2 linked regions of the Oryctolagus cuniculus genome follow. The main gene of each other region encodes a partner of the protein of the gene in region 2 in a complex. Links are inferred from orthologs where the notes say so. Each region holds a gene or a part of one and is shown on either strand. Other genes may lie near its edges.

Region 1 (4,428 bases), on a different chromosome or scaffold from region 2:
CTTGCTATTCTTTTAAGATAATTATTGTGATGATTTCTTACTTCGGAAACATTAAGGAACATTTAACTTCCAGTGAAGGGCTTATGCTTAAGTATTTATTTTTATTTTTTAGAAGAGTTTTATTTAAGAAATATAAATTTCAAAAGTACAACTGTTGGATTATAGCTGTTTTTCCCCCTAAACCTCCTTCCCACCCGCAAACCATCCCAGCTCCTACTCCCTCTCCCATCCCCTTCTTCATTAAGATTCATTTTTAATTATCTTTATATACAGATCAACTTAGTATATACTAGGTAAAGATTTCAACAGATTGCACCCACACAGACATACAAAGTGTAAAGTACTGTTTGAGTAGTAGTTTTACTGTTAATTCTCATAGTACAACACATTAAGGACAGAGCTCCTACATGGGGAGTAAGTGCACAGTGACTCCTGTTGTTGATTCAACAATTGACTCTCTTGTTTATGGCATCAGTAATCACCTGAGGGTTTTGTCACTGGCCTTATTTATGTGATCCCTTTGACACTTAATCCTATATGATCAATTATGAATTTAAACTGATCACTTTAACTAGTAAGATGGCATTGGTACACGTCACCTTGATGGGATTTGGAGTCCCATGGCACGTTTCTAGCTCTACCATTAGGGATAAGTCCGAGTGAGCATGTGCTGAACTGTACATCTCCTCCCTCTCTTATTCCCACTCTTATATTTAACAGGGATCACTTTTCAGTTAATTTTACACGCCTAAAGCAATTGTGTGTTAATTAAAGAGTCCAACCAATGGTATTAAATAGAAAAAGAAAATACTGCAAATAAAATAGTAATGCTTAAGTATTTTAAAGAGAGAAAAAAGCATCCTTGGCGACTAAACTTAAAGCCTGATAAATGTCTAGCTCCTGGTAAAGACCTAAAAAACAGGCAGCATTGTGACTGCCACGTGGGTGCTGGTTCCAGTCCTGAGGGCTCCATTTCCAATCTGGATCCCAGCTGGTGGCCTGGAAAAGCAGAAGATGGCCCAAGTGTTCGGGCCCCTGCACCTGCGTGGGAGACTCAGCTGAAGCCCCTGGCTCTGGCCTGGGCCATTTCTGGCCTTTGCGGCCATCTGGGTAGAGAACCAGCTGATGGAAGACCTCTCTCTCTCTCTCTCTCTCTCTCTCTCTCTCTCTCTCTCTATCTCTGTAACTCTTTCAAAATAAATAAGTAGATCTTAAAAAACAAAACAAACCCTAAAAACCTTTGAGAGGTAAATCCAGGGCTCCTATCGGCGGCTTCTGGCTGCGAGACTCTGGAAGAAGCTTGAGGCCCGCTGAGCGCCCCCAGCCGGAGGCCTCTGAGGACGGGACTCCCAGCCCACACCTCCGGGCGCCCAATCCTGGAGGCGAAGGCTGACTCCCAGCGCCCAGCGGCGCCCGGCGCCTCCCTCCTCGCGCCTCCCTCCCGGCGCTTCCTCGTGCCGCCCACACTGAGCCGGGGCTTTCTTGCCGCCTAGCAACCACCGGCGCAGGGGCGGAGCGTCACGGAGGGCGGGGCTTGCGTCCGCCCGCCGTCCGGGGCGCTACGCGCTGCCGCTCAGTGACGTCGCTTCCAGTCCAGGGTGGTTGAGCTAAACTTTCGCCTCATCGAGTTGACTATACGTTCGTCACCCGCGCCGCGGCACGCCTGCGGTTGGGTGAAACAAGGCCCTATCGGGCCTCCGTAGTCGGCTTTTTGTGGTAGGCGGGGCCGAGGCCGGGGTGACCCTGCCGGAACCGCCGCTGCCAGCAACATGTTCAAGGTGAGAGCATGGAGTCGGGTCACAGTTGTCATCGCCCCCTCCCGGCCACCGGGAGCCCTCCCCGCGCTCTCGTGGGCCTTTCCGGGGACCGGGCACGGTCCGCCCCAAGGCTTTTCCCGCCTGCAGGCAGGCTGCGTTCCGGCCCCGCGGTCCATTCACTGGTCATCTTGGGGCGAGTGGCTGCCGGGCGGAGGCGTGAGACTCGGGGGCGGGTCGCGACGGCCCTTTTGGGTCGTGCTTCCGTGAATAAAACACTTTGAAAAGTTACGACACTCTCCGCAAAGCACCCACCCCTTCGGCTGGTGCCTTCTCGGGATCGTGGGCAGGGTGAGGCTAGTTCCTGGCGACGTGGGGTTTGCTACTCTGGTTGCCGGGCAGCATCAGATTTCAAGAACCTGGTATGTGGGTGGGGGAGGGTCGCCCTCGGAGTGGCCGCTGCAGGAAGCGGGAGGCTAGTGTGGGAATGGCTGGCTGGGGAGGGAAGCTCCACATCCCAGTGACCATTATCCGTGTTTAAATGGACGTGTTGACTTTCTTAGGATCTATGTGCTTGTGGCCTTTAATAAAAGGACTTTTACAGACAATGAAGACTTTATTTCCAAAAATCCGTATTGTAGCATTAAGCCATTTTTTAAAAATTATTTTTGCAGTCACAAAAAACAAGTCATAGGCTATCAGAAATTAATCTACGAAACTGAGCGTTCAAGAGGCATCATACCCGTAAAGTAGTGCTAATGACATCTTAGAACTGTGCTGCTCGCTTAAGCTTTATTGAGCTCTTGTATGCTTTCAGCACATTAATAAAGACCATAAAATCAGAACATCGGTTCTGCCTGCTAGCCTTGGCCTTGGCCCGTCCTGCTGTGTGACCTTGGACAAGGCATTTAACCTCTCTGCCTGTTTTCCTGTTGGTGACAATCGGGATGATAGCATCTGCCTCATAGGTAGTCGTAGGAGGAAGTAGTTGTGCGTAAGACGCTTGAGAGAGGTCTTGGCATGTAGACATGCCTCTGGTTTGTTTTCGGCGAGCTCACGGTTTAGTCAGCAGGACGAATCCCATAAGCAACTTCCATTCATTTGACAAGTTGAGGTTAAACACCTATTATGTGCTAGCAGCTCAGCTTGGCTTTAGGCTTACGATGAAGCCTATGCTGTGACCAGTTCAGCTGCATGGGTACCAGCTATATACTGTGGTCGTAAAAAAGGGGAGCAGGATCTTTTTGGCTTAGCCAGGAGTTTCTAACCTGGGGTCCTCAGTCCTTCAAAGGGTCTGTATATAGGGGGGCCCCTGGATTCTGATGGGGGAAAAACTTATTTTCACCCCATCTTCAATGAAACCAAGTGTTTCCTTCAGTTGTGAATACCTATTACCTATTACTGGGTAACAAACCACTGCAAAGCAGTACCCTAAAACAATGATTTATTATTTCTCAGTCTGGGCTGGTTGAGCAGTTCTGGCATCTTCCAGGGGCTGAATTGAGCAGGGGGCTTGACTGGAAGGTACTCTCTCTCCCGTGTTTGGAGGCTTGGTGTCCCTCCCTTGTGTCTTCCTCATATGGTTACGGGCCAGTCCTAATGTACAAACACCTGCATCATTTGCTGATGTTAAAACAAGCTGCATAGCCAAGTTCAGAGTTGATACGGTAGTGGACTGTACAAGGGCATGGTTAAAAGCAGGTGTGGCTCATTGGGGGCTTATTAATTTAACAAGCCTTACAGCAGCAAACCACAATAGTATTAGTGCCTGTTACTAACAGAGGTCACAGTACTCAGGCCCGCATTTTGGCGCAGTGGGTTAAGTTGCTACCTGTGACACCAGCAAGTGCTGGCTCGAGTCCAAGCTGCTCCACTTCTGAACCAGCTCTCTGCTAATGTGTTGTGGCCTGGCTCAGCTCAGGCTGTTGAAGCCATATGGGGAGTGAACCAGCAGATAAGACAGTCTGTCTCTGTTTCTCTTAAACTCTGCCTTTGAAGTAAATATTTTTTAAAAAGTCACAATACCAGTGCAAGTCAGAGACATTTTTATATCATATTACTGTTGTTGCAGATCTCAAAATATCATTTATGCTCATCACTACAAAATTAGAGTGCTTGTAAGATTCACTGTTAACATCTTTTTAATGAGTTAGTGAAGTACATATTACTACATCAAAAAAATTTTTTTAGAGATATATTTACTTCGTTGAAAGAGTTACAGAGAGAAGGAGAGAGAGAGAGAGAGAGAGAGAGAGATCGATCTTCCATCTGCTAGTTCACTCCCTAAGTGGCTGCAGTGGCCAGTGTGGAGCCTGGCCGAAGCCAGGAGCTTTATCTCGGTCTCCCGTGTGGGTGCACAGGCCCAAGCATTTGGGGCATCTGCAGCTTTCCAAGGTCATTAGCAGGGAGCTGGATCAGAAGTGGAGCAGCCGGTACACAAACCAGTGCCCAAAGGGGATGCCGGTGTTGCATGTGGTGGGTTTAGCTGCTGTGCCACAATGCTGGCCTTGTACACCAGAAATTCGAATTTTGAAAATATGTTTATTTGTAAAGGGGAGGCAGAGAATGAATGTGAGAATATCTTTCATCTGCTGGTTCATCCCTCAAATGCCCACAGTGGTAGAGACTGCTTCAGGCCGATGCCAGGAGCCCAGAGCTCTTTCTGGGTTTCTCA
Region 2 (3,287 bases):
CCTGCTGGCCCCAGCACCGACCCCTGCCTTCAGCCCAGCCCGTGCCTGGGAGCTGGGCGACGTCACTCGGAGATCTGCCAGTGCTGCCCCCTGCCTGCCCCAGGACTCGCCGCCCCTAGCCTGGCCCTGCTGCCTTCGCAGCTCCGTCCCCCGCCTCCTGCCCCACGTAGCTCTCCTCAGACAGCTGCAGTAGCCCCAGCTTGGGCCTGCACCGCCCTCCCTGCATCCGGGGCTCCAGTCTCTGGCAGGCCCCTCGCTCATCTGTTCTACTTTTGTGTCTGCGCACCCAGAACCTTCCCCGGGAAGCGGCCTGTCTCCCCCCTGCTCCGTCCCCAACACAGCTGCCTGCCCCTCGGTGCACCACATACCTGCTTCCGCTGCACAGTGTGACTACAGGTTTCCGGACGTCTCCCCTGCCAGGCCAGGCTCCCCCCGAGAGGAGCAGTCTGTCTCACAGGGCTCTGACTGCCAATGTCCGACAGCGGGCCGGACACAGAGCAGGCAGCAGGGACTGTTTGCTGGGGAGCGAATGACTGCAAACAAAGACATCTGCTTTATTCGCTTTCGGACACGAGAACATACTGTTTCCCAAGTGCAGGGCAGCCCCAAGCTCAGAGGCATATGTGGATGCCCCAGCAGGAAATGGCAGGGCACGGCGGCTGTGGCCCAGGGTCTGCGGACTGTGGTCCCACGAGCAGGCCCTTCCTCGGGGCTCCAAGTCACCGCCAGGGCCAGGAGTGATGGCTGCTCCTCAACCCTGCAAGCAGAAGGGGTCAGAGTTCAGTTCCAGCTCTCTTCCTGGAGTCATCTCAGGTGGTGACGTTTCACTGCACTCACTGTGAGCTGGTCTCCCTCGTCATCCCTTGAGACCTGGTCACACATCTGAGACTTAGAGCCAGGCGGGGGGACAGGCCCTCCTTCGACATGCGCCCGCGGTGACGGGAGCTAGCACCGTGCCTTCCGCTCCTCTGTGCTCTGGAACCTGCATATCGGCTGCAGACCTTGGCACACAACAGCCCCAACCCACTTCCGCTCTGCCGCACCAAGGGCCGCCTCTGCTCGCTCATTCAACAACTCTCAGGATTCTCTAGGCAGCACACAGAGTGTACACTGGCACCCCAGAGTGCGCACAGTCTGGTCCCTGCTGCTGAAATGCTGTGTGACTCTGTCCGTGGCTCTGAGGTCTGGGCCTGGAGGGCACCGCACAGGTGTCCACGCTGCCTCTGGGAGCTCAGGGCGGTGGCCTGAGCCTTGAGCAGGAGACAGCGCTGTACCCTTCCCAGCCCCCACAGCTGGTGGGCTTCATCCCCTGCCACCTGGCTGTTTCTAGAAGCAGGTTCCTCTCAAGGACCCCTCATTCCCCCATCCCTGGCTCCACCAGGAGCCTTCTGAGGTGGAGGCTAGCAGAGTGCGTGTCAGAGCTCAGGGTTCAGGCCTGGGGAGCTGGGGGCCGGGCTCTGCCAGCAGGACCCAGGGCCTCCCCCTCGTAACAGGTCGGGTGTGTGACAAGCAGGGACTTGGAGCCCCCATCACTTGGGTGGGGGATAGGATCTGTGGGAAGGTTTCCATCTTGCTGAGAAGCAGCATGAAGGGCCCATGCCACGGGGTCCCGCCTGCCAGTGCTTGGCTCCCCGCACGCACGACTGCGGGGACAGCTCATGCCAGCTCTGCGCTCCGCTCAAAATCAGGCAAGCAGCTTTCCATGCTCCATGACACAGGAGAAAACCTCTTTTCCTCTCAGGCACCTGGCCCGTGACCAGCTGCTGCTGGGCGCTAAAGGACAGTGAGAGCTGGGGTTGTGCGGGCGCCTTGGCAGGCAGGCATGAGCGGAGCGGGGCGGTGGCCTGAGCTCTCACAAGGCCCCGGGGACACGGTTCAGTGGGATGGGAGAGGGGCTACCTGCAGACCCGGCAGGGGAACACACAGCCTCGCACCGCGGCCGCCTTCACCACAGATGCCTAGCTAGATGTTCTAGCTTCTTTCCTACGTGGGACAAGGCTTTTCTGTGGGCAAGGAGAACCCATCCTGCGGCCTTTCCTGTACCTTTTAACACACAAGCCAACGAAGGGCCTGCCAGCGCTGGAGCGGCCTGGCTGCATCAGGAGGCATTGCTGCAGCTGGGCCTGGGACACGGGCAGACTCGGCCAGAGAGGGCAGCGCAGCTGGGCACATGGGAGGCGCGGAGCAGGAGGCCAGAGCTGGGCCAGCTCCGGGAGTGGCCTCAGGTTTTAGGACAGCTGCAGCCGCTGGCTGAGCCCTGGAGAGCACAGAGCCAGGCCTGCTTGCCAGGGAGCCCGGGCCACTGCTCACTTCAGATCTGCGCTGAGGCTGTGCTGTGGGGGCCACGTCCACTGCTGGTCCTCCCTGCCCTTGCCACAACTCCCCCCTGTACTCTGGGCCTCCTCCACGCTCCCCGGCCCCGGGTGTGAAGAGCTGAGGAGTTGGGGCACAGGTGTGCCCTTAACTAGGTACTGCCCTTGGAGGCGGGGCCTGGCTGCCCAGCACTGCTCCTGGCTCAGCCCAATGGCAAAGCGCACAGGGACTGCGTCCCCTGGGCCAGATGTCCAAGGCCCTCATGGGAGCATTGGCATGGGGAGGGGACTGAGGACACCCTAATACTAAGAATCCGCCCATGGCGAATTCTCCAGGTAGAATGTCTGACTATGGCAAACAAGGCTGGCACAGGGGTCTCCCACACTCCAGGCCCCCCGTGTCTCCAGCGTCCCATGCCCTGGGAGGCAGGCAAGGCCTTACCTTGTGAGCGGCGCTCACGCAGTGCTGGTACGTCTTGACCAGGTCTGAGCACAGCAGTGCCTCGTGCAGGTTGTCACGGTAGCAGCGCAGGATCTGGGCCTGCAGGCTCGAGCACACCGGCTCCACCCTGCGGGGCCTGCGGGAGGAAAAGAGCAGGCAGGCCTGGGATGCAGGTGCAGGTGAGGCCAGGCCTCTCCCCAGAGGGCAGGGAGAGAAATGATGCACACACACTCAACAGCACAAGCTGGGCATTGGCCATGACCTTGATGTCCATCAGGGCCCCTTTAACAACCTCGGAGAGACACTTAGCTTTCTGGTTCTAAGTGTGATAGCGAGGTCACAGGTCCAGCCCTGTGCTTGGTGGCTCAGGCTCAGACCCCAGCAGACGCTGACTGGGCTGGGCAGCGGGGCGGAGGCTCCACCCTAGGCTCCTTCCCTGAGGTCTAAGCACCTGCAGGATGCCAGAAAGGGGTGCGGGCGCTGACCCAGCTGGAGGACACTGTGTCAGTCCCAGCTCCCAGGAAGGCCCCGGC

The links. Proteins that work in one complex are often made in the same cells at the same time.
Region 1: CHCHD6 (region 2) and APOO share a complex: the UniProt entries of both Homo sapiens proteins name them as parts of the mitochondrial contact site and cristae organizing system (MICOS) complex. The link is inferred for Oryctolagus cuniculus from reciprocal best matches to the Homo sapiens genes CHCHD6 and APOO.

Annotation. Positions count from the first base shown.
Region 1 is NC_091453.1:10,138,475-10,142,902, reverse strand, and holds the start of APOO (MICOS complex subunit MIC26), read left to right. Parts: upstream 1-1,517; 5' UTR 1,518-1,769; coding exon 1,770-1,778; intron 1,779-1,841; exon of another isoform or gene 1,842-2,176; intron 2,177-4,428. UniProt on the Homo sapiens protein: Component of the MICOS complex, a large protein complex of the mitochondrial inner membrane that plays crucial roles in the maintenance of crista junctions, inner membrane architecture, and formation of contact sites to the outer membrane.
Region 2 is NC_091441.1:109,939,233-109,942,519, reverse strand, and holds the end of CHCHD6 (MICOS complex subunit MIC25), read right to left. Parts: intron 2,891-3,287; coding exon 2,755-2,890; intron 758-2,754; coding exon 752-757; 3' UTR 531-751; downstream 1-530. UniProt on the Homo sapiens protein: Component of the MICOS complex, a large protein complex of the mitochondrial inner membrane that plays crucial roles in the maintenance of crista junctions, inner membrane architecture, and formation of contact sites to the outer membrane.